Drosophila melanogaster: one gene and its partners. The protein of the gene in region 3 interacts with the protein of the main gene of each other region in a pairwise test. Each region holds a gene or a part of one and is shown on either strand. Other genes may lie near its edges.

What was found.
Region 1: the proteins of smo (region 3) and RpL40 interact in binary tests that used the Drosophila melanogaster proteins (3 or more experiments, as listed by UniProt).
Region 2: the proteins of smo (region 3) and fu interact in a two-hybrid assay, tested with the Drosophila melanogaster proteins (2 studies listed by BioGRID, with this or other methods).

The regions. Positions count from the first base shown.
Region 1 is NT_033779.5:4,225,018-4,230,333, forward strand, and holds RpL40 (ribosomal protein L40), read left to right. Parts: upstream 1-2,681; 5' UTR 2,682-2,790; intron 2,791-2,994; 5' UTR 2,995-3,007; coding exon 3,008-3,394; 3' UTR 3,395-3,544; downstream 3,545-5,316. Other genes in the region: CG3702 (uncharacterized protein), read right to left, coding at 1-1,750, 1,830-1,871.
Region 2 is NC_004354.4:18,655,287-18,662,976, reverse strand, and holds fu (fused), read right to left. Parts: upstream 5,223-7,690; 5' UTR 5,138-5,222; coding exon 5,027-5,137; intron 4,955-5,026; coding exon 3,585-4,954; intron 3,526-3,584; coding exon 2,951-3,525; intron 2,883-2,950; coding exon 2,521-2,882; 3' UTR 2,489-2,520; coding exon of another isoform or gene 2,309-2,488; 3' UTR 1,773-2,308; downstream 1-1,772. Other genes in the region: CG6696 (uncharacterized protein), read left to right, coding at 829-1,012, 1,075-1,248, 1,302-1,738, 2,309-2,488; CG6659 (uncharacterized protein), read left to right, coding at 5,834-5,879, 6,002-6,263, 6,332-6,653, 6,707-7,690. UniProt on the Drosophila melanogaster protein: Probable serine/threonine-protein kinase; maternally required for correct patterning in the posterior part of each embryonic metamere. May be involved in control of cell division during metamorphosis and ovarian development. May interact with costal-2.
Region 3 is NT_033779.5:275,002-283,949, forward strand, and holds smo (smoothened), read left to right. Parts: upstream 1-2,580; 5' UTR 2,581-2,824; coding exon 2,825-2,862; exon of another isoform or gene 2,863-2,928; coding exon 2,929-3,322; intron 3,323-3,641; coding exon 3,642-4,123; intron 4,124-4,183; coding exon 4,184-4,804; intron 4,805-4,868; coding exon 4,869-5,039; intron 5,040-5,108; coding exon 5,109-6,513; 3' UTR 6,514-7,166; downstream 7,167-8,948. Other genes in the region: CG17078 (uncharacterized protein), read right to left, coding at 1-250, 318-1,496, 1,738-1,902, 1,958-2,141; CG11601 (uncharacterized protein), read right to left, coding at 7,171-7,504, 7,653-8,146; CG3625 (uncharacterized protein), read right to left, coding at 8,885-8,948. UniProt on the Drosophila melanogaster protein: Segment polarity protein required for correct patterning of every segment. G protein-coupled receptor which associates with the patched protein (ptc) to transduce the hedgehog (hh) signal through the activation of an inhibitory G-protein.

The DNA.
Region 1 (5,316 bases), 4.0 Mb from region 3:
ACTCATTCACGCGCTTCAAATCGACGCGATACTGCCAGCGCTGGTAGAGGAACACAAAGAAGATGATGTCGTCGCGGAAGCAACCCAACCGGTACATTGTGGGCATTTTGATCACAAACGCAAAGATGTCATCGATAAAGGTGTTGAGGAACTTGTAGGTCATCATGCGCCACGGCATGTGGGCCACCGACTTTAGCTTGTAGTTGATGAATAGCTGCGGCGTCATCAGGATGAAGCCAAAGGTCAGCAGATAGCCGTACAGCATGTTGAGCACAAATGAGTACCAGCCCTTGTGCTCGTTGTAGATCAACGAGTAGACAAAGTAGGCCACCAGGAGCGGGAAGCATGCCCAGCCCAGGTACTTGAAGGCCAGTTTGTCATAGTCTTTGGTCGAGCTCTCCGAATAGGAGCCCTTGTCCTGGAAACTGATTCTCGGCAGCACTCCCAGAATCTTTTGATCGTGATCGTAGTTGATATCCACGACCTTGTGAATCTTCCACACCTCGATTCCCAGTCCCACGAAACAGGAGATGCGAATCATGAAGTTGGTCTCGTTGTCCAGCACGTACAGCAGGATGATTAGTGACTGGAAGACACCGAAGAACACCGATCGTACAGACAGTCCTTCGAGCGACTTGCGATTGTTCCAGAACTGAATGTCGTTCTTGAAGGCCAGCAGTTCGAACACCGAATGCAGTATGGAAACGGCCACTGTGATGCCCAGCAGGTAGATATTGGTGTCCAGCAGAGTCTCCTTCAGCGAGTCCTGATCCTCGTCACTCTCCTCCGGCTGGCTGGCGGCCATCAGCTCACCGAGCATATTGCCAGCCCACTTGTTCTTCATCTGTTTGGCGGCATACAGCTGCCACTTGAACATGCCCAGCGGCTGGAAAGTGAGGTGCAGCTCCAGTTCGGGAGTGGTCTCATTAATGGGTTGATACTCCCGCTGAAGATTCCAGTAGTCGTTGACGAACAGGATGGGCAGATAGGTCTTACCGCCGTCTACGAACTTTACGTAGTCATCCAGTGGCGGCGGCACAGATCCCTCGGCCCAGTTAGTTTGGTCCACTACGAGATTGACCGTGAGATTAGGATGCCAGTGAGACACGATGGTATCCTTGAGATTCGCATGCTTGAGCTCGTGCTCCAACTTCTCCTTCTCGCTGGCCAGCAAGTTGTAGTTGCGGTTCACACGCAACTTCTTGAACTTGTTCAGCTGATGTTGCTGGTGGCCCATTTTGGTGGCGTAATTCGGGGCTTTGGGATCGGGACTCATGCCGGTACGCGTGACAAAGGCATGTAGGTACACACTGCCATTGTTCATCAGATGCTGGCTGGTCTTAAGCTTCAAACTGTGCGTGTAAATGCCATCTCCGTTGACGCCCGACGTCCAATCGCCATAGGTGAGGTCCTTCTGTAGCCAGAGGAGATTCGCCTTTTGCTGGAAGTTAACCACATCGGGATTCTCCGACAACCACACGTGCAGGTCAAAGTCCGTGCCGTTCTCGAAGTAATTCCAGGCCGTGATCTTGGGACCCGCATTAGCGACACTTTTGCCTTGACTGGCGGCATCGGGCGCAGGTCGTCGGAAAAAGGAGCTCACAAAGTAGATGATCAGGGCACGCAGGATGAGGGACTTGGTCATCGCAAAGAAGGACTCCATGCGGGTGGGCTGATTCGGCGGGGGTTGTTGTTGCTCATTCTGGCCTTCATTTTGGGCCAGCTCAGCGTTACCATTGCCCGCAATCACCTAGAAAAAACGATGAGAACCAGGTCGCTATTGTCAGGTGATTGGGGTTGAGAAAGGTTTAAGTTTCTCAGATACTTACCGCACCCTCTGCTGCGGGCTGATCTTCGCCTGCTTTCGACATGCTCTGTTCTCAAGGGTTTTCCACGCTTTTCCCTTAGTTTCCCGTTTTCCGCACAACTTGTGCTACTGTCATCGATAGGTAAGTGTTGAGGACCTATCGAGCCATTAGAACTTCGATATCGAAAGGGGTATTTTTCAGAATCTATCGATTTGACGCAGAATGGAAAAGCACGGTGTTCTCACTATAAAGACATACTTTTTTCACTAAGTCAAATACAAATTTATTTATTATATGTGACATATTTAGCAATACACATTTTTAGAATATCGTTGGCTTAAATGTATATCCCTTACTTACTTATACTTACTTACTTACTTATACTTATACAACCTAGTATTCAATTATTGTTCTTAGTAAAATGGACAGCAACTTGAATATTTTTGTATAAATTCAAAAGGTTTAATATCTGAAAAAATATTTCATAAATTCATTAAAAATATAATTTAAATCGATTAGGCGGTTTTTCAATAAAAAAAAATATGCGTAATATGTAATATTTGAACCTTATCTAAAATATAATTCTATATACAAGTTTTGATTTCAATTTATTTGTATACAATGCAAATAGCATTTTCATGCCATAATAATATAATTTTGAATTAGCTTAGCTATCAGTGAGGTAGCGTTGGGCTATAAAAAAACACGAAAAACTATATGTTGATATTGTAAAGTTGGTCTCGGTTCAAATGGTAAAGATATTTTGCATTAATTAATTTGAGTGTCTGAATATTTTTTACAGTTCCATTTAGAATGTTTTGGTATTTAAAAAATAGTATTTTGGTATATTTGCAGTGCTCGGCGGCGGCCACACTCTCTTTTCCCTTTTTCTTTTGAATAGCATTTGGTTGCACGTTTCCTCTGGTGAGTTTCCATTAAATATATTAAAAATAAACGAAAAATCGCAATAACGTGGCAGAATGTAAACATATTGTTGTTTAGTGACGTATTTGTGATATGAAAAAGATGGACACTGGTGCTTGTCGACCGGTGGAGCTGTTTCTGTCGAACGAAACATGCCAGCAAGTCGGACCTAACCTCCAATCTTTGCCCGCTCTTTGGGACGCACAAGTTCGCTAAGAAATCGTACGATTTGGTACTGATTTATGTTTTATATTGCTTTCAGTGACGCCGCCATTATGCAGATCTTCGTGAAAACCCTCACCGGCAAGACCATCACCTTGGAGGTGGAGCCTTCTGACACCATCGAGAATGTCAAGGCTAAGATCCAGGATAAGGAGGGCATTCCCCCAGATCAGCAGCGTCTGATCTTCGCCGGCAAGCAGCTGGAGGATGGCCGCACTCTGTCCGACTACAACATTCAGAAGGAGTCCACCCTGCACTTGGTGCTCCGCCTGCGTGGTGGTATCATTGAGCCCTCGCTCAGGATTCTGGCCCAGAAGTACAACTGCGACAAGATGATCTGCCGCAAGTGCTACGCCCGTCTGCATCCTCGTGCCACCAACTGCCGCAAGAAGAAGTGCGGACACACCAACAACCTGCGCCCCAAGAAGAAGTTGAAGTAGACTATGATCATCCGTCGACGGTCCAGGCTGGTCTTTCTATCGACAAAACCATGGTTAACCATCTAAGTAAATATATGTACATTTTGTGAAACCACATCTAATCGAAATGTATTGCATTTGCTGCCAAGGCACAGCCTATTTACACCGTGTATGTTTCTGTTTTCCTGTCATCTGTTTTCGTTTGTGGTCTCCGAAGAACGAGTTTCTGCGGTTTTAGGAAGCTCTTATACTGCAATTAGTTGGCCTCTCCGAGATCTCAGTTAGTTTTTCTGCTCTGTTTCTGGTTCTGTCTCGCCACCAGGAAGCGGGCGACAGCAGCAGGTAATTGATATTCCATCTGCCAGCGATACCAGACCCTTGCGGTCTACTCTTCTGCCCAAGGGAAACAAGGGGACTGGCTGGCTAGTACGCCGCGGATGGTCGAGCAGACCTACTTGGCCAAGCTAAGCCAAGTCCACTTCGAGTACAGTTAATTGGTTTCATTGACCGCCGACTAAGGCGCGCAACGGCTTCCGTGGCCAACTGGTAAACTGGTTGTTGGCGCTCTAATCCATGCTAGCACTTGGTCGTTGGCCCCGCGGAGGCTCTTATTATGAATATCTTAATAACCCAAGAACTGGCTGGTGACGACCCAAAGGGCCTGCCTGATAGGCAGGACATGATAACAAGCGGGAAACCGAGAAGAGCAGCTGCTGCCGGAGGACCAGGCACAAATTGCGGTCAACATTAATTAAAAATACGTTTTTGGGTGACCCGCGCAGATTTCCCAGGCGCAGAATGGGTGGCTGGATTGGAGGAGGGGACGCGACTGATGAAATTGCGGATCAAGCACAATGAAAAAAAGTTAAGGGCCGTCGCCCGCAGGAAAGTCCCAGCAAAAGGTAAGTGGAAAAGCAACCTGAGCTGCCCAGAGGTGAGGATTGCAGTGGCTCGAAAAAAACCTATGATAGTTGATAGTACAGTGGTACCTAGAAATACTTGCTTATAGTTGCTTATAGTATAGTTTTATACCATATAAGTAAAAAAAGTGTATGACACATTTTTTTTAAAGAATTGAATAAGATATAAGATTTACTATAATAACTATATCCATTCAGTTCCGAATTATCAATAGACCACTGTGGCCACGTTCTCGTCCAATATACAAAGGTGTTATATGGGCCAGCCGAGGGTCGGGTATTTTAAAAATTAAGGCTCTGCCTTTCGGAGCTGCAGGAAAAGCGGCTGCTTATTTATGGGTCCCGGGTCCTCAGCCTTGGAGGCCACGGGCTTGAAAATGCCCAAACAGGTTCCAGCCTCCACTGGTCCGTTTCAGCAACCAAGTGCGTGGCTTTCGTTTTTAATTTTTGCAGCCCGTCCAAGTTTGGGTCTCTGTCTTTTGGGCGCCGCCTTTGCCATTCTTGGGAGCAGGACTTTTATGGCCGGATGGGTCGCAGTTTACATAACAGATGTGACCAGAATAATTAAGAGTGCGATTCGAGTGGTGGCCCAAGTGTCCTCATCTGGGAAGTCTCCGCTGGTCAGTCATTTGGCTTGACACTCTTAACGCTCTGGGCGTTGCTCCTGGCCAGCATTAATATTGCAGGGCAGGCACTGCCTCATCCAGCGAGGAGCAGCCTTGGCGCCGCCCATCGCACCATCCAAGCACCACCCACCCATCTACTTTGCAGCGAAAAGTGCTCATTGAAAATTGAACGTTTTCCCGAGTCTCCCCATGCGACTTGCTCGTTTCCATATGCCGGGCGGGGATTGGGTGAGTTATGAGCACCGCTTATGCCACAAAGTCAACTTCTGATTGCCTGAATAGTTTTCCGATTCCCGCCCTGCGCGAACGAAAGTAATTCCGCCCGTAAGTTCCTCTAAAATATGCACTCCGCGGGTTGGAATTCGGATTCGGAACGGATGAGAGGAGATGAGATGAG
Region 2 (7,690 bases), on a different chromosome or scaffold from region 3:
CTCACAGATTGGCCAAAATGGCTGGATGGATGGTGGGCTGCCTGGCTGCCTGGCAGCCTGGTCCCACATCTGAACTTGACGAAATCGTGTTCTGGTGATCTTGTGGGTGCCCACTCGGCGACCCACTTGGAGCCACGGCCAGCGCCACTGCCACTGCCACTGCAGTGACCCACTCAACTGACGGATAAGCCAAGCCATCCGGGTCTGGGTCAGAGAAAGGGAGAAGATGACCAGATACCTGACAGCGTTCACTTTTGCCACCGACAGATGCCAACTGTCATTGGCCATCAACATCATCAATCGATGGGGGTCAAAGAACTCCTCCCGGCTTTCCATGGTGTCTCTGCCGCTTTTTCTCTCTTTCTGTGCGGACGTGAGATCGAGATTGAAATGAAGATCGATTCGAGATAGGAAGACAGGAAGGCACCGCCACTGGGTAATGGTACTGGCACTGGCACTGGCACTGGAACTGGCACTGTCACTGGCGCTGGTACTGGGAAAGAGAGTGTGCTATTTTCATATGCGCACGCCGTTGCCACTGATAACCCAATATCCCAGTTAAATTTGGAACCAAAAGCCGTAAAAGTCGAGGCGGGGGAATTTGAATGCGCGCCGAAAGAGAGAGCCAATAAGTCAGTTAAGTTATGCATAAATCCGAAATCCAGCGGCGTGGGCGTCCGCCATTCAGTCGCCCAGTCAGTCAGTCACTCAATACTCACTCGTACTTTCAATTGGAACTGCCATTGCCGTTGTCATTGCCCCGCCCCTTTACGCAGTGCCATATAAAAGCGTCGACGCAACATGGCCGGCGTTTCTTTTACCCCAACAATGCCGAGAAGTGCGCTCATCGTTCCCGGTCTGATTTGTTTTTGGTCTGCCCTGGCCTTGGCCCTGTCCGCCACCTTGGAGGCGAGTACCCCGGCCACGCGAAAGGCGCTTCTTCGCGCACGACCCGCGGTGCCGCCCGCTGCCAGGTGGGGCGCCAATATGCAGATGCTGCGCCGGCACAACAGTAGGTACCCAACATCATATCAGACGCTAGTAGTCGATGCACTCAACCATTGGCACTTGCAGGTCCTGCCTTCAACTTCTGGACGGAGGACAGCGATACGAACATATGGGAGCATTGCGGCCTCTTCGAGGGCGACATCATGCTGCACCGCGAGCTGCTGAGGAACGGGCTGCTGAACGAGCGGCTCACCTGGCCAGAGGCCGCCGTGCCCTTCTACATAGACCCGCAAGACTTCAGTGAGTTAAGGCCTGCAAGCAGTCCAAAGTAGTAAAACACCCTTTCCAAACAGACGCCAACCAGACCATGGTCATACTGAAGGCCTTCAAGGAGTACCACGACCGCACCTGCATACGTTTCCGGCCGTACGAACAGGGCGACAAGCACTGGCTGCTCATCAAGGGCAACTACTCCGGCTGCTGGTCGAGCGTCGGCCGGCGTTCGGGTGGCCAGGTGCTCAACCTGAACACACCCAAGTGCGTCACACACGGCGTGGTGGTGCACGAGCTGCTGCACGCGCTCGGCTTCTACCACCAGCAGAGCGCCACGGAGCGGGATGAGTACGTCAAGATCAACTGGGAGAACATCCTCGACGGGCACGCGCACAACTTCAACAAGTACGCCCGCACCCACATCACCAACTTCGGGGTGGAGTACGACTACCAGAGCGTCATGCACTACAGCTCGCGGGCCTTCAGCAAGAACGGGAAAGCCACCATAGAGCCATTGGTGAGTAGGCCAACCCAAATGGTTACCAGTTATTCATGTAATTGAGTATTATTTTAAATCGCTTACACTGTAAAGGAGTTCAGTTTAACATTCAATAGTAATACTGCGAATTAATGGACTATTGTATGGACATACAGTAAATTCGCTTATCTTAACAATTACTACACCTAAATGTTATATTTCGATATACAAACTATAATGCTATCAATCTATTTTGCACAAACCACACTTGAATATGTGCATTCAAAAACACCTATCAATTAACTTAGATTCCATTAGGAATGCCAAAAACCGTGGCTCATAAAATATTTAAATTCGATAGTGATAGTGATTTGATCATATTCAGATTAGGAATTCCTATATTAACACATGGTCCAATGACGTGCAACTATGCTAGGAATAGACGAAGCATTTTGCTTCCTTGTCCAGTTGGAACTATATCAAATGAGAATTCTTTAGCTGAATGGTTGACTACACCTTAGCAGTTTTAGTTGAAGCGATGAGATGTTTGTAATGACTTGGGGGAGCTTGCATCGTCTACACTCTCTGACTCCTGTCCTTTGCTTCCAGGATCCGTACGCCTCGCTGGGCCAGAGACGCGGCCTCTCCGACAAGGATGTGTCCAAGCTAAACGAGATGTACGAACAGGACTGCAGCGAGGACTACCTGCTCAACTTCGACCGCTTCGGGAACTACATCGACGAACTGCTCGACTACTTCCAGGGCAACATTCAGGATCTGCTCGGATAAAAACGCCTGAGGCCAATAAAAGAAAGTGCCGGCTAGGTGACGAAAAAAGTGAAGTGACTGATCTCGTCGAGGGTCTGGGCGGCCTCCCCACGGAGTGCCGGGTACGAGTGGTGCTCAGAGAGTTGTTGCAGCGCAAATCGCAGCTCTCCATTCCATATGCGCTGCACGCCGCGCAGGCTGAAGCGGGCCAGCAGGCGCAGCAGCTGACAGGAACGTTGCCGCAACAGGTGGTGTCGGCTCTGCAGGAGCGAGACGAAGTTTAGCCGCGGATTAAAGACAATCCGTTCTACAAGCTCCGCGTTTTCGGGCAGCTCGCGCAGCACACAGCCCATCAGGGCCAACATGCACCCAGCCAGGCGAACAGAGGCGGCGTCTGAATCCGATTGCCTGAAGTCTACGGGAGAACGGGAACGGGCTAACAGTTTACAGGAGTCAGCTCATACCATCTAAGGGTAATCTTACCGTGCGTGAGGAAGTTGAGGAACAGATCGCTTGCTGCCAGAATGGCAACCGCATCGCAGAACTGCGTTAGGAACTGCTGCTGCAGGTGTACCAAGTGGCAGACCAGTTCGTACAGACTGCAAGCCGTCTCCAGCTCCTCGACAGTTAGCTCCGGAATGCTACGCAACGTTCGACTGAGCGAACCCGTGGTGAGTGGGGCGGAGGCAGCCGAGTCCGAGAGTTGTTTGTGCGACAGGAGCAGCTTGCAGGCGTACATGAGATTGGGCACCAGTTTTACGTCCACGTACACGTTGCGGATGAGCTCGAGGTCAACAATCAAAACAGGATCCACCAGCACAAAGGGCAACGACAGCAACTGGGCCACACTCTTGAGTACCCGTGGAATGGCCTTGGAGTTGCGCAGCGGTGCCACAATAATGCTCACCAGGTTGTGCTGTTTCAATGAGTCCAGTTCGCCGTCAAGCAGCTCCTGCACCGATCTGTTCAAGAAGGCTAGCCACTCATCGTTCTCGATGGGCGGACTTTGGGATTCATCGCAGCTATCCCACCCCGGGAGCAGGCACGGCGGAGTGTTGCTGTTATTGAAAGGGGAAAGTTAGTAAAAGAAATTCTATGAGGCGCAGTGGCCACTTACTCGCTGCTCAGCTTTTCCTCATTGGTGGAATGCATTGAGTGTTTAAGTTGTTGTGGCTGTTGCTGCGGGGGCTGAGAATTTGCGTAGGAAATTGCTTCAGCGGGAGGCTTGTTTTCCTGGTTATGCTTTTCCTGTGTAGCAATCTCCGTGGCCTTGCGTTGCGCCTCATGGTCGACGCTGTGACCCAAGCGAACAGAGAAGTTATCCAGATTCTGACTAAGCTTACGCTTCTCTAGATCCTTGCTGCGCGACTGGCGTACGGTTGGAGCGACTATTGGCTTAGCGGCCACGCCTCCGCCCCGCAAGGAAGCCTGAAAGTCGAAGTTGTCGTTCATATGATTGAGGATCATATTGGAGTTGCCACTGACGAAGCAAGTGTGCGAGTTGATCACCGGCTGGTGTACCATCGGCATTGCCCGAACACCAGACAGATCCCTGTAGGACAAGTCCGCGAAGGGAACGACCACACGTTGCATATTGTCCTCCACATCGGTCTCAAGATGCTCAACATCGCTGGGAGCAATGGCGTTTATGCTGTCGCGGGAGGTGGTCAAGTTTTCCTGTCGCGACTCGCCAAAGTCCAAAGCGGCCAGGGCCTCGTCCAGATCGCCTACCTCCGGATCGGACTGTTTTGACGACTTAACCTTGGCTTCGGGATTTGTGAAAGGCGATTCCTTGGCCGCCTCCGCCTGCGTTTCTGCGATAAAGATGCGTCCCTCAACGAAGGGGTGACACAACAGCTGCGTCCAGGATATGCGCAGACCGGGGTCCTTCTCAAGCAGGCCCTGTAGGAAGGAGCGGCACTCGCTAGTCAGCGTGCTCGGCCACTTGACGTCCTCGTGCTTGATCATCTTCACCAGATGCAGGATGGAGCTGGCACAGAAGGGCGGCTGACCGGCCATGCTTTCGTAGGCTATGCAGCCCAGTGACCACATGTCCGCATGATGGTCGTACGGCTGCTCCGCCAGCAGCTCCGGGGCCATGTAGAGGGGCGTTCCCTTGATCGAGGTGAGCACGTGGGTACCCAGGGTCATGTTGCGGGCCAGTCCAAAGTCGCAGAGTTTCGCGTGCATGTTCTTGTCGAGCAGCACGTTTTGCGGTTTGAGATCCCGGTGGAGGATGCGGTTTGAATGCAGGTAGTACAGAGCGGACACCAGATGCCCGGTCACCCGACGTGCCGGCTCCTCGCCCATGGCTCCATTGTAGGACAGGTAGCGGTGCAGGTCCATCAGCGCGAACTCAGTGACCACGAAAAGGTCCGTCTTCGACTCGAAGGACTCGATCATCTCGATGACGTGCGGATGCTTCAGCCGGGCCTGAATGTCGCACTCCCTGCGCAAATTCTTCAGCTCTTTCGTGGCTCTTCCGCGCTGCAGAACATGAATATGGTGTGAACTAGTTGTATGGACTTGTTGCTTTATCACCTGGCCCGCCCCACTCACCTTGGAGATCACTTTGATGGCCACCACCTTGCTGTCGTCCTTGCGTGTCGCCTTGTATACGCACCCGAAGGATCCTTGCCCCACCATCGAGCTTACCGCGTAGCGGTTCATGGTTATTCTTTGTTTTGCTGCGGATTGGGATGTGATTACCACTGAAGTGCGTGCGGTATGACCGTAGCAGGTTGACTCCGAGGTGGGAACTCGGCTTCGGTACGTAGGTATATGAAAATACTAGATTGCTCATACAGGGTTCCTTTTCTGATAAATGACGCTTTTGCTGGACAGCAATTGTACCTAAAAATCTATATAGACCAGATCATGATACAATCCAAGACAAATACAAGACTAGTTTGCGCTTTTATCTGTGGCAGTAGGTATTAGTATTATCTGCGAATAAACATTTATTAAGTGATAAAAGTTGGAACGAACTTTAACTTATATATTATTATATATTATAAATATTTATATGTATATATTTCTTAATGTACAAATTTTTACTTAATAAGTGCAATAAATGATATGCAATATAAATAATTAAAAATTCCAAAAGTGCAGTAGATAATATAACTAATTATAGGTATGTACCTATATATCGTAATGTACCTAAAATTCAGTGTGACCAAACCAACACAAATGACCCTTTTGACAGCAACTCGGTACGGTCACCCTAGACAAGCACGGCCGAAGAACAGCTGATTGCTGGCTGGTTTTTATTGTGCGGAGCCAGGAATAATCGTTGTGAAATAAATAATGATTGCCAATTTGAACACAGCCACCCAGTGAGACGACACCCACAATCGCAGCACGATGCGCGAGCCCAACCTGTACGTGATCCTGTCGCACGCGCTGATCGGTGAGTTTCCGCCAACCGGCAGACACTTCTGCCACGCCTCTTCCGCTTCCAGGCGGCAGTCTAATTGAGTTGGGGATTCCCACTGCCATTGACCACACTCCCAATTCCAATCCGCATCCCAGGCTGCGGCTTCTTCTTCCTATACGTGCAGCATGTGCGCGTGATCTTCGAGACGCGCACCAACATCCAGCAGCTCAATCAGCTGGAGCGGGAGGCGCTTCTGCGGCGCGAGGATGCCCTGTACTATGCCTTCTACAAGCAGCTGGCCGAAGGGCCGGACTTTTGGCACGGCTACGAGCAGCTGAAGAACGTCACGGACATCGAGTATCCGCACAGTGTCAATGTGCTGCAGCGATTCTACGTGCTGCCGGAGCTGGTCACGGCGTAAGTGACTGCCAGAGGAGTGATGCCCAAAAAGTCCACTAATGCAGATGCACTTTCGCTCCCCAAAGGTACTTCTTTCACGTAGTGCGCTCCGGCTTCAATCCAATGGTGCAACCGATGCAGTTCTATCTGGAGTTCGTGTGGCTGATGGGCGGGGTAACCCTGCTGGTACTCTACCTGTACGGAACGCTGCTCAGCGAGAACATTTTCGGTGGCATATACGGCGTAATCTCGTACCTGATGTTCCACAGCTTCGTGGCCAAGATCTATGAGCGGCCGCTGGCGCGGGAGAACTTCGCCTTTCCGTTCATTTTCCTGCAGATGTTTTATCTGTGTATCTGCATCGGAAGGATCATACACCGACAGCGGCACACATCTCGCATGTTCATGGTAATAGGTGTGCTTTATTGCATTAAGCTCAGTAACATCTTTGCCCTTCGAAGATCTTCGCCATGTCGCTTTTCACCGCCTGCGCCCTACTCTCCTGGCAGTTCTCCACCTTCATCTTCACCACCCAGATCCTGATCATGATGACGTCCTGGAACGCGAGCGCGCTGCCCACGGCTCTGGTCAACGCCTTCGTGCTGGACTACTCGCTGTCGCACCTGCTGGGCCACGCTCTCGCCTTTGTAATGTCGCACGGCAACAGCCAGCTGCTTCTCACCTGGCAGCTGAGCATCTCGCTGTTCCTATTTTTGATTACAATGGTGCGACAGTTGCGTCACGTGCGCAGCCGGCGACTGGGACACGCGCAGGATCTGCTGAACGGCGACTTATTCTCGTTGAAGTTCCTCATGCTCACACTGCTGCTCGCCAGCAGCGTGCAGACCACGCTGATAGAGCTCTTCAATCGGGCTGGCGTGGTCAGTGTGACGGAAGGCGACCAGCAGCACTTCTTCGACATATGTGCCCACTGGGCTCTGCAGGTCAATGTCGGCTTTGTCGCCCACCTTTCCGCCTGCAATCCGCAGTACGCGCGCGTCGCCTGGTCAGAATTGTGGCAGCTGGTCAAGACGATGATTGTTAAGCCGTACTGCATGTACGGCGTGGTCATGCTGGCCATGTTCTTCCGGCGCTGGCGCAAGAGCGGCGCCCCAGTAAGTGCCCTCACCGAAGAGCAGCGCGAGAGAGCGCGCAAATACGTGCTGGAAGACTTCATAGAGGAGCACTTCGTTTCCATGAGCGACATGTCTAGCAAGGAGACGGAGAAACAGCTGTATAAGTGCTTCCGCCTGCTCAAAAGCTGCGACTACGACTACGAGCGCTACAAGCGCGCACAGGCCAGCCTGCGTAAGGAGCAGCCGCCCGCCCGCGACGACTTTATGCAGGATATCAAGCGGCTGCGAGCGCAAATTAACCGCAACAGCGTCAAGCAGCGCAAGGAGCGGGCGCAGGAAACCAAAGAAGCGGCCACCGACGGGGCCAGC
Region 3 (8,948 bases):
GTCACAGACTTTTTGGCCGATCGCACTTGTTCCGGCGAGTGCTGCAGAAAGTAAACGACGATAAATTCGAGTGTTTGATTGGCTTCCTTAGGGTACATCATGTTAAAGGTATAGTAGTAGCAGATTAACTGGGCCAGAATGTCCGGCAGGTCTTCGTCTTTGGCGGCGAATGTGGCCATTATCTGGCCTTCAATGTAGACCTTCGCCTCCATTTGCGATTCCACGCCGTCGGCCGTTGTTATGGGTGAATCTGTGGGAAGATAAATATTTTAAAAGTATTTAAACACTTTTAGTGATATTAATTTTTGTGTACTTACTGACTAGAGCCACCCAGGGGGCGTTTGTGGGATTCGTGCTTTGCAGTGATTCCTTGCTAAGGGAACTGTTCTCGAGGTGCTTGAAAATGTAGTCGGGATCCTCATTAAAATAGTACGCTATGCCACGCAGGAAATTAGCGTTGGTCTCGTCCAAAGAGCTGATCTTCTTGTTCTTTGAACTCTTAAAGAACCTGAAAAAGCGATCCTTTTCGGTAGCCAAGCGCTTCTCTAGAGCCCGGGGATCGATGGACATAAGCAGCTCAAAGTGCTGGTACAGCACAGCCTTGTCAAAAATATATGGCCAATTGTCCTTAATGGCCGTTATATCTGGGATCTTTTCGCTGTTATTAAAAAAGGAGCGCTGCAACGGAAAGCACTCTTTCATATATTCGATTATGACGGACTGTTCCAGTGGGGAACTGCCTCGGTAGCTGGAGATTAGTAACTCCTTTTTGTGCTCCAGATCCCTGTTAAGAGCCAGCGATTTTGCATCACCATTGGAAGCACCACCTCCGAATTTTCGTTTTTTATTAGGGATGTGGATCTCAAAGGTTCCCGAGCTGCCGCGTTTCTGGGGTTTGTTTAGGGCATTGTTACGGTTGATCATCTTGGATATGAGCGATTGCGGAGTGGTGGCTATAAACTGTCCCTCGCGGTCTTTTTCGAGTAAGGAGTCGGGGTACTTTTCAGCCGCCTGTTGGGCGACCTGCCGGAAAATCCGTATGGGAATGTGGGCGGATATTTCACGGAGAGCCTCCACCAAAACATTCGCAAGTGTATTCAACCGCTTGCCCAAACTCCCCTTTCCCTTTAGTAGTTTCATTATGTCCCCAGGCACCTTGCTCCAGGGTATCGAGAACTCCTTGAATAGAGCAGAACTCTTTGCACTTGATGGCGTTACGCTGGACAGTGACATGGTTTCGTCATTAGAGACCGTCGAATCGTTCGGGTTCGACACAATACTGTTGTTGGCATAGAAGCTGGGATCCACCGAGCTGCCGGCGCGTTCGGATCGGTTGAGGGGCGATGGCGGAGGAAGCACCACATACTCCTCCGACTCGGCGAGGAGCATCAACAGAATCTTCTCCTTGGCAGCGAACAAGAGCACGTCGTCCTCGCAGATCTCGCAGCCGTTGCTCTCCAGGACAATTGTGTTGCCGCACAGGCCGTATTTGTGAGCTACCGAATACAAATATATTATTGATATAAATTAAATAAAATATGTACAATTATTTAATTTCTATCCTAGATAAATATATCACCCATTGATCAAATTTATATTTTTAAATGCAGAAATGCTCTAAGCTTAAACCCAATAGATTCTTATTAAAGACTGTCTACTGGTTAATAACTTCCAACTGGGCAACGTTCATTCGGAATACTGGATGAATAGATACCCAATTCGTCGGACGTTCCTTACCTTTGTCGATTACATCCTTTCGAGTGGGCAACGACATGAAGGTCTTCTTGATCTTGCGATCGGCGCTGCATATGGTAATCAATACTTTGTCAGCCAGCTCGGTCTTCGGCTTGCCCTCGTCGTCGTCCTTCTGGCTAGCATCAGTGGAATGTGTCGGCTCTACGGCTAAAAGGTAAACGTTAACCAGGAAACTAGACTAGCTTCGAGCAAGTTTGCTAACCGGGGGCTTTCTCACCGCAGCTCTCTGGCTTTTTCGCTCCTCCTGTTTGTACACCATTTTCGATTGTTGTTGCCTTTGCGAGTGCGACCGGCGCTTGGTTTGCATTTTGATTCGGACTGATCGGCGCCTGCTGGGTGCTATGATCGCCGCCGGAACTGGCGGGCGGTGCGGGGGCAACGTCCATGGCTTCTATTTGCGTTTGCGCGACTCCAACCAAGCCCTGTTATCCGTGTTTTTGGACCGTGCCGTGAAATAATATTGCAGAATAGGGATGTAAAAACTACATCGATGCTTGGTGCGCTACTATCGCGGTGTTATCGATACTCCGCACCCAGTGTGACCGTCGAGCGCATGGCATAAATAAATAAGCCAGCGGCCAGCATTGCCATATAGTCAAAATGTTGCGGGGAACACCTTTTTCGTTTGCTGATGCATTTCTACATATGATCATATTTCTTATTTTATGTTGATGTTATCTTATGTTACGATCGAACAAAATAAATCCGATTTGTTTGCATATCATTCGACTTGTTGCAGCTATGACCGATAATAACCGATGCCGACCGATAACATGCAAATCTCGCTGACCGATAACATGGGTATATTTAAACTGGCCCTGAATGGTCGCACATTTGTTGCTTCAGCTTCACGTTGAGTCGCGTTTATTTTTGTTTTCCTCCTTGGTTCTTGTTTTTTTTTTCTCTTTTTTAAAAACACTGCAATCCTTCAAAGGGAACAATTAAACCAGGATATCCCGAGTCCAACGAAAGCGCCTTCACGATGCACTGACGAACCGCTGAGCAAGAAACGGGCATTCAGCCCATTAAAATTCACACAAGGCAGCTATTTAATGATTTTTATAAGCGGATGCAGTACTTAAACTTTCCGCGCATGCCAAACATTATGTGAGTGACTCGCCTCTGGCAAATGGTGTGGGCAATTAAAATAACTTGGTTATTTACAAACCGCAGGATGTTCCTGGAGGTTGCGATCTTATGCCTGTGGGTGGTCGCAGACGCATCGGCCAGTTCGGCCAAGTTCGGCAGCACAACGCCCGCAAGTGCGCAGCAGTCGGATGTGGAACTGGAGCCCATCAATGGGACTCTCAATTACCGACTGTACGCCAAGAAGGGCAGGGACGACAAACCCTGGTTTGATGGCCTAGACAGCAGGCACATCCAGTGTGTCCGACGTGCCCGTTGCTACCCCACCTCGAACGCAACCAACACCTGTTTCGGCTCAAAATTGCCCTATGAGCTGAGCAGCCTAGATCTCACCGACTTCCACACCGAAAAGGAGCTGAACGATAAGCTGAACGACTACTATGCCCTGAAGCACGTGCCCAAATGTTGGGCAGCTATACAGGTGAGGAATCTTAATAACATCTAATGTACCTAATGATTTCAAAAGGTGGGGCCGAGTCTGTATGAAAATACAGATTGTCGCATTATTTTCTGATAAGGAGGTGCATTAGAAACAAGTTAAGCGCACAACTGTGATTACTTAATTACGCTTTGTGTTCAAGCAGTGAAAGTAATATGTGAATTGCTTTATCTTGGGAAGATTCAGATATATATACATATTCAGTTGTGGCTCAAGGTTTTCTGTAGATATTATAGTATTTCAAATCCATTTCTTCAATATTCCGGATTAGCTCAACACACCCATTTTTACATGTTTATAGCCCTTTTTGTGCGCCGTCTTTAAGCCGAAGTGTGAAAAAATCAACGGCGAGGACATGGTCTACCTGCCATCTTACGAGATGTGCCGAATTACCATGGAACCCTGTCGCATTTTGTACAACACGACGTTTTTCCCAAAATTCCTTCGCTGCAACGAAACACTCTTTCCGACGAAATGCACAAACGGAGCACGAGGAATGAAATTCAACGGAACTGGCCAGTGTTTAAGTCCTTTGGTTCCGACAGATACGTCAGCCAGCTATTATCCTGGCATCGAGGGCTGCGGCGTGCGATGCAAGGATCCACTCTATACCGATGATGAGCATCGGCAGATCCACAAACTGATCGGATGGGCTGGCAGCATATGTCTTCTGTCTAACCTTTTCGTGGTGTCCACCTTCTTCATCGACTGGAAGAATGCCAACAAGTATCCGGCAGTAATTGTGTTCTACATAAATCTTTGCTTTCTAATTGCTTGCGTCGGGTAAGTTTTGAGCACTATTTTGCATTTGTATTCTTAATCAACCACGTATTTACTATGCAGCTGGTTGCTTCAGTTTACTTCTGGCTCGCGAGAGGACATAGTATGTCGTAAGGATGGAACACTTCGCCACTCAGAGCCTACAGCCGGTGAAAATCTTTCTTGCATAGTGATCTTTGTGCTGGTCTATTATTTTCTCACCGCTGGAATGGTTTGGTTTGTGTTCCTCACCTACGCCTGGCATTGGAGGGCCATGGGCCACGTCCAAGATCGGATAGATAAGAAAGGTTCCTACTTTCACCTCGTGGCGTGGTCACTACCCCTTGTGCTTACCATTACCACGATGGCTTTCAGTGAGGTGGATGGAAATAGTATTGTGGGCATCTGCTTCGTAGGCTATATCAATCATTCTATGAGGGCAGGACTACTTCTTGGTCCGCTCTGCGGGGTCATCCTCATTGGTGGATACTTCATCACCCGCGGCATGGTGATGCTTTTTGGACTGAAACACTTCGCTAATGACATTAAATCAACTTCGGCGAGCAACAAAATCCATTTGATCATCATGCGCATGGGAGTCTGTGCTCTGCTCACTTTAGTTTTCATACTAGTGGCCATTGCGTGCCACGTTACGGAGTTTAGGCATGCAGACGAATGGGCCCAGAGCTTCAGACAGTTTATAATGTAAGTGTAAATACTCGTTTATAACTTTTTCCATACGCCTCAACTAGATAATTCTTTTGTTTAGCTGCAAAATTTCTTCAGTTTTTGAAGAAAAGAGTTCCTGTCGAATTGAAAACCGACCTAGTGTTGGCGTTCTTCAATTGCATTTGCTGTGTCTATTTAGCTCTGGAATCGTAATGTCCACCTGGTGCTGGACACCTTCTTCAATTGAGACTTGGAAGCGTTATATAAGGAAGTATGTTTTACCATCCTACCAAAAGTTGCATTAAAGTTATCTGTACTATCGATTTTATAACCTTTGCAGAAAGTGTGGCAAAGAGGTGGTCGAAGAAGTGAAAATGCCGAAGCACAAGGTCATTGCCCAGACATGGGCCAAGCGCAAGGATTTCGAGGACAAGGGCAGGCTCTCCATAACGCTCTACAACACCCACACAGATCCCGTGGGGCTCAACTTCGATGTGAACGATCTGAACTCTTCTGAGACGAATGACATCTCATCAACTTGGGCTGCATACCTCCCGCAGTGCGTAAAACGTCGCATGGCTTTGACGGGAGCAGCGACAGGTAACTCGTCAAGCCATGGACCGCGAAAAAATTCATTGGATTCCGAGATAAGTGTGAGTGTTCGACATGTTTCCGTTGAATCCCGCAGAAATTCGGTGGACTCGCAGGTATCAGTGAAAATAGCTGAAATGAAGACCAAAGTGGCGTCCAGATCAAGGGGAAAACACGGAGGCTCTTCCAGCAACAGAAGAACCCAAAGGAGAAGGGATTATATAGCAGCTGCCACTGGAAAAAGCAGTAGGAGAAGGGAAAGCAGTACTTCAGTGGAGTCGCAGGTCATCGCGCTCAAGAAAACGACCTATCCCAATGCTAGTCACAAAGTGGGCGTGTTTGCTCATCACAGCTCCAAGAAACAACACAATTACACCAGCTCCATGAAGCGAAGGACTGCTAATGCCGGATTGGATCCCTCTATTCTTAATGAATTCCTGCAGAAAAATGGCGATTTTATATTCCCATTCCTCCAAAATCAAGATATGAGCTCTAGTTCGGAGGAGGATAATTCCAGAGCATCCCAAAAGATTCAGGATCTTAACGTGGTTGTAAAGCAGCAGGAAATAAGTGAGGATGATCACGACGGAATAAAGATTGAAGAACTGCCAAATAGCAAACAGGTGGCATTGGAGAACTTTCTTAAAAACATAAAAAAATCTAATGAATCCAATTCTAACCGACATTCCCGAAATTCCGCAAGAAGTCAGTCAAAAAAGTCCCAAAAGAGACATCTCAAGAACCCTGCTGCTGATCTAGATTTCAGGAAGGACTGTGTAAAGTATCGGTCTAATGACTCACTTAGCTGCTCCTCTGAAGAGCTGGATGTGGCTTTGGACGTAGGAAGCCTTCTTAACAGCTCTTTTTCTGGAATATCCATGGGCAAACCACATAGTAGAAACAGCAAAACCAGCTGCGATGTGGGCATACAGGCTAATCCTTTCGAGCTAGTTCCCAGTTACGGAGAAGACGAACTGCAGCAGGCCATGCGACTCCTAAACGCAGCCAGCAGACAAAGAACTGAAGCAGCCAATGAGGATTTCGGAGGAACGGAGCTGCAGGGCTTGTTGGGTCATTCCCATCGGCATCAAAGGGAGCCCACGTTTATGAGCGAGTCGGACAAACTCAAAATGTTATTGCTGCCTTCAAAATAGCAAGACTAAATAAGCAATTGATGCATTTACTTAAGGTTCAAAAACTCTTACAATATTGTAGTTTTTGTTCTAAGAAATCAAATTGTTAGCGCTGAAAATAATCGTACAATCTTATCTATTTTACGAAATCGTAATATTGTTATGTTCACTGTTCAACGATTTATAAGAATATATCGCTTCACTAGAATTGGAAACCCAAATGATATTTAAAACAAACAAATACGAAATTGTAGTACACAAGCCAGAGCAGTTTACATGCGATGAACATTTAGATTCTTCTTAATCGATTACTGGAACAGACTGAGCGAAACTAGAACTACGAATTACGAATACTCATAGTCATTAGGCTGCAACTTTATTTTACAGATTCATCACCCCATCTAGCTTGTAAGCATTCGAATCTCTGTGTACGTTTGTGAATGACTGTTTCCTTAATCCTGGTACTCACGCCAAAGTAAATGCCAAAGAGGATAATAATTTATTTTCATTATTTTTCTTTGCCGTGGGTACAGGACTTTAGATTGTAGATTATAGATTTAAGTACGATATAAATAAGCCTCTTGGGCACACAAATCGTACCTCAGAAAGTGCCTTCAAGTTTACAAAATTATACATAATAATTTGTGTAACTAATAAACGATTTTAAATCCTCGAGTCCTAGCCTTGCTTTAATTTCTGTTGATTTAGGAGCTTAAACTCCGGACCCCAAACGACGTTGTTGGCGAACTCCCCGAGCAGATAGCAAACCAGGTTGAACCCCACAAGTAGTGCCAAGAACACGTAGCGCAGGTATGCGGGCAGCACTTCCAGAATGGGATACACCCACTCGCCACTGAAGTAGCGAACAATGTGCAGCCAGATGATGTAAAGCAGGATGAAGGAGACGTTGCCCGTGATGCCTGCCAATCGACTCGGATAGCGGCGGAAGCAGGTAAACAGGTCCATAATGGCCAAAAGGGCCACATTCGTGTGTACCACGTGATTCAACCAGCTGCAAATATTGAGAAACACAGGTAAATCAAAACTCGCCTCGCCTGATGAACAGAAAGTTTAGACAGGCTCGAAACAAAAGAGACTCCAGCAGACTAACATTGTGCATTGTACGCAAGTTAAACCGGCGGAAAAACATAAACACTTGCCTGGGGAAAATCGCATCCAGCGCTGAGGGAAAGATGAGCTCACGGTCCCACACGTAGATGACCCAAAACGAGAGGCAGACATTGTGGGCGACAGGAAAGGCAAAGGCGGCGAACACATAGTCCCTCACCGATCGCAACATGGATTTTGAATCCCCGGAGACATTGTTATCGCCGAAGAGATCGTTCAGCAGAGCCAATGAGTGGTAGATGGCCTGTAGAATGACGTCCAAGAAGGTAAGGTACTTGAACTTGCCGCCCCACCGCGCCTTCAGTTCATCCTCGTCTAGCAAATCCGTGGGCCAATGCACCCGGAAGTAGTGAAAGTATATCCCATACGAAAACTGCGCTGCCGCCAGGAGATGGACCAGGAATCTCAGGTATTTGAAGGCACCGCTCGTATAGGCATCGTTGCAAGTGTTCAACTGGGCTTTAGTGGCCTCGACAGCTTCCTTGGCGGCGTTGAACTCGCGCACCTGCTTCTTGCTCTTGCCCATTTCCTCCAGAAAAGGTGCAAAGGGCACCGCACGCTGAGCAAAACAAAACAAATAAAGCTAGCCAACAGCTGATTAGGGCGCAACACACGTCGAGTTTCATTCCAGCAAGGAGGCGTTTTTAAGCTAGAACTAGCTTTTTAAAGCCAAATCGATATGATAGCGCCACTTGACGTTTCTCTGATCTTGAAAAGCAGTTTATTCCAAGCTTCCCACCTTAAAACAGTTTTCGCAGCTGATGAAGAGTTTAATCGCTTTATTATGGTACTAGAATTGAATAACAGTGGTATTCAAAGATGGCGTTGAATCAGTGTGCTTGATATGAGAAGTTTAATCGAGAAGGCATTTTTGTATTTTGGTTAGTCTAGTAAACTTATCGAAAGACGCGCGCGCTCAATGGAAACTACGGCTATAATTTCAGTTACAATGTATGCGTAATAAAAATATAATGAATATCATTAGCAAACGGGTTTCCATATTATGATTAAAGACTCCGAATTCAATATTACTGGAAAATATATTATCGAGTTGATGTTTCAAGTTTCGTTTATTATTTCTCACATATTTTGTACGCCTTCTTCAGTTAACTTTGCAGTACGATTTTACATACTTATGAAAAATTTCTTTGGCTGAGAAGATCGAACAATATGAGCAAAATGTATAATCGAGACCTGTCAATCACTATTTGTATTTTGTGGCTAATTAACGCAACTACATCGAACAGAAACGGGTCACAGCCTCCTAGTTGGATTTGCGCTTGGCCAACTTCACTTCCTTGGCCCAGACGGTATTGTTGAGGAACTCG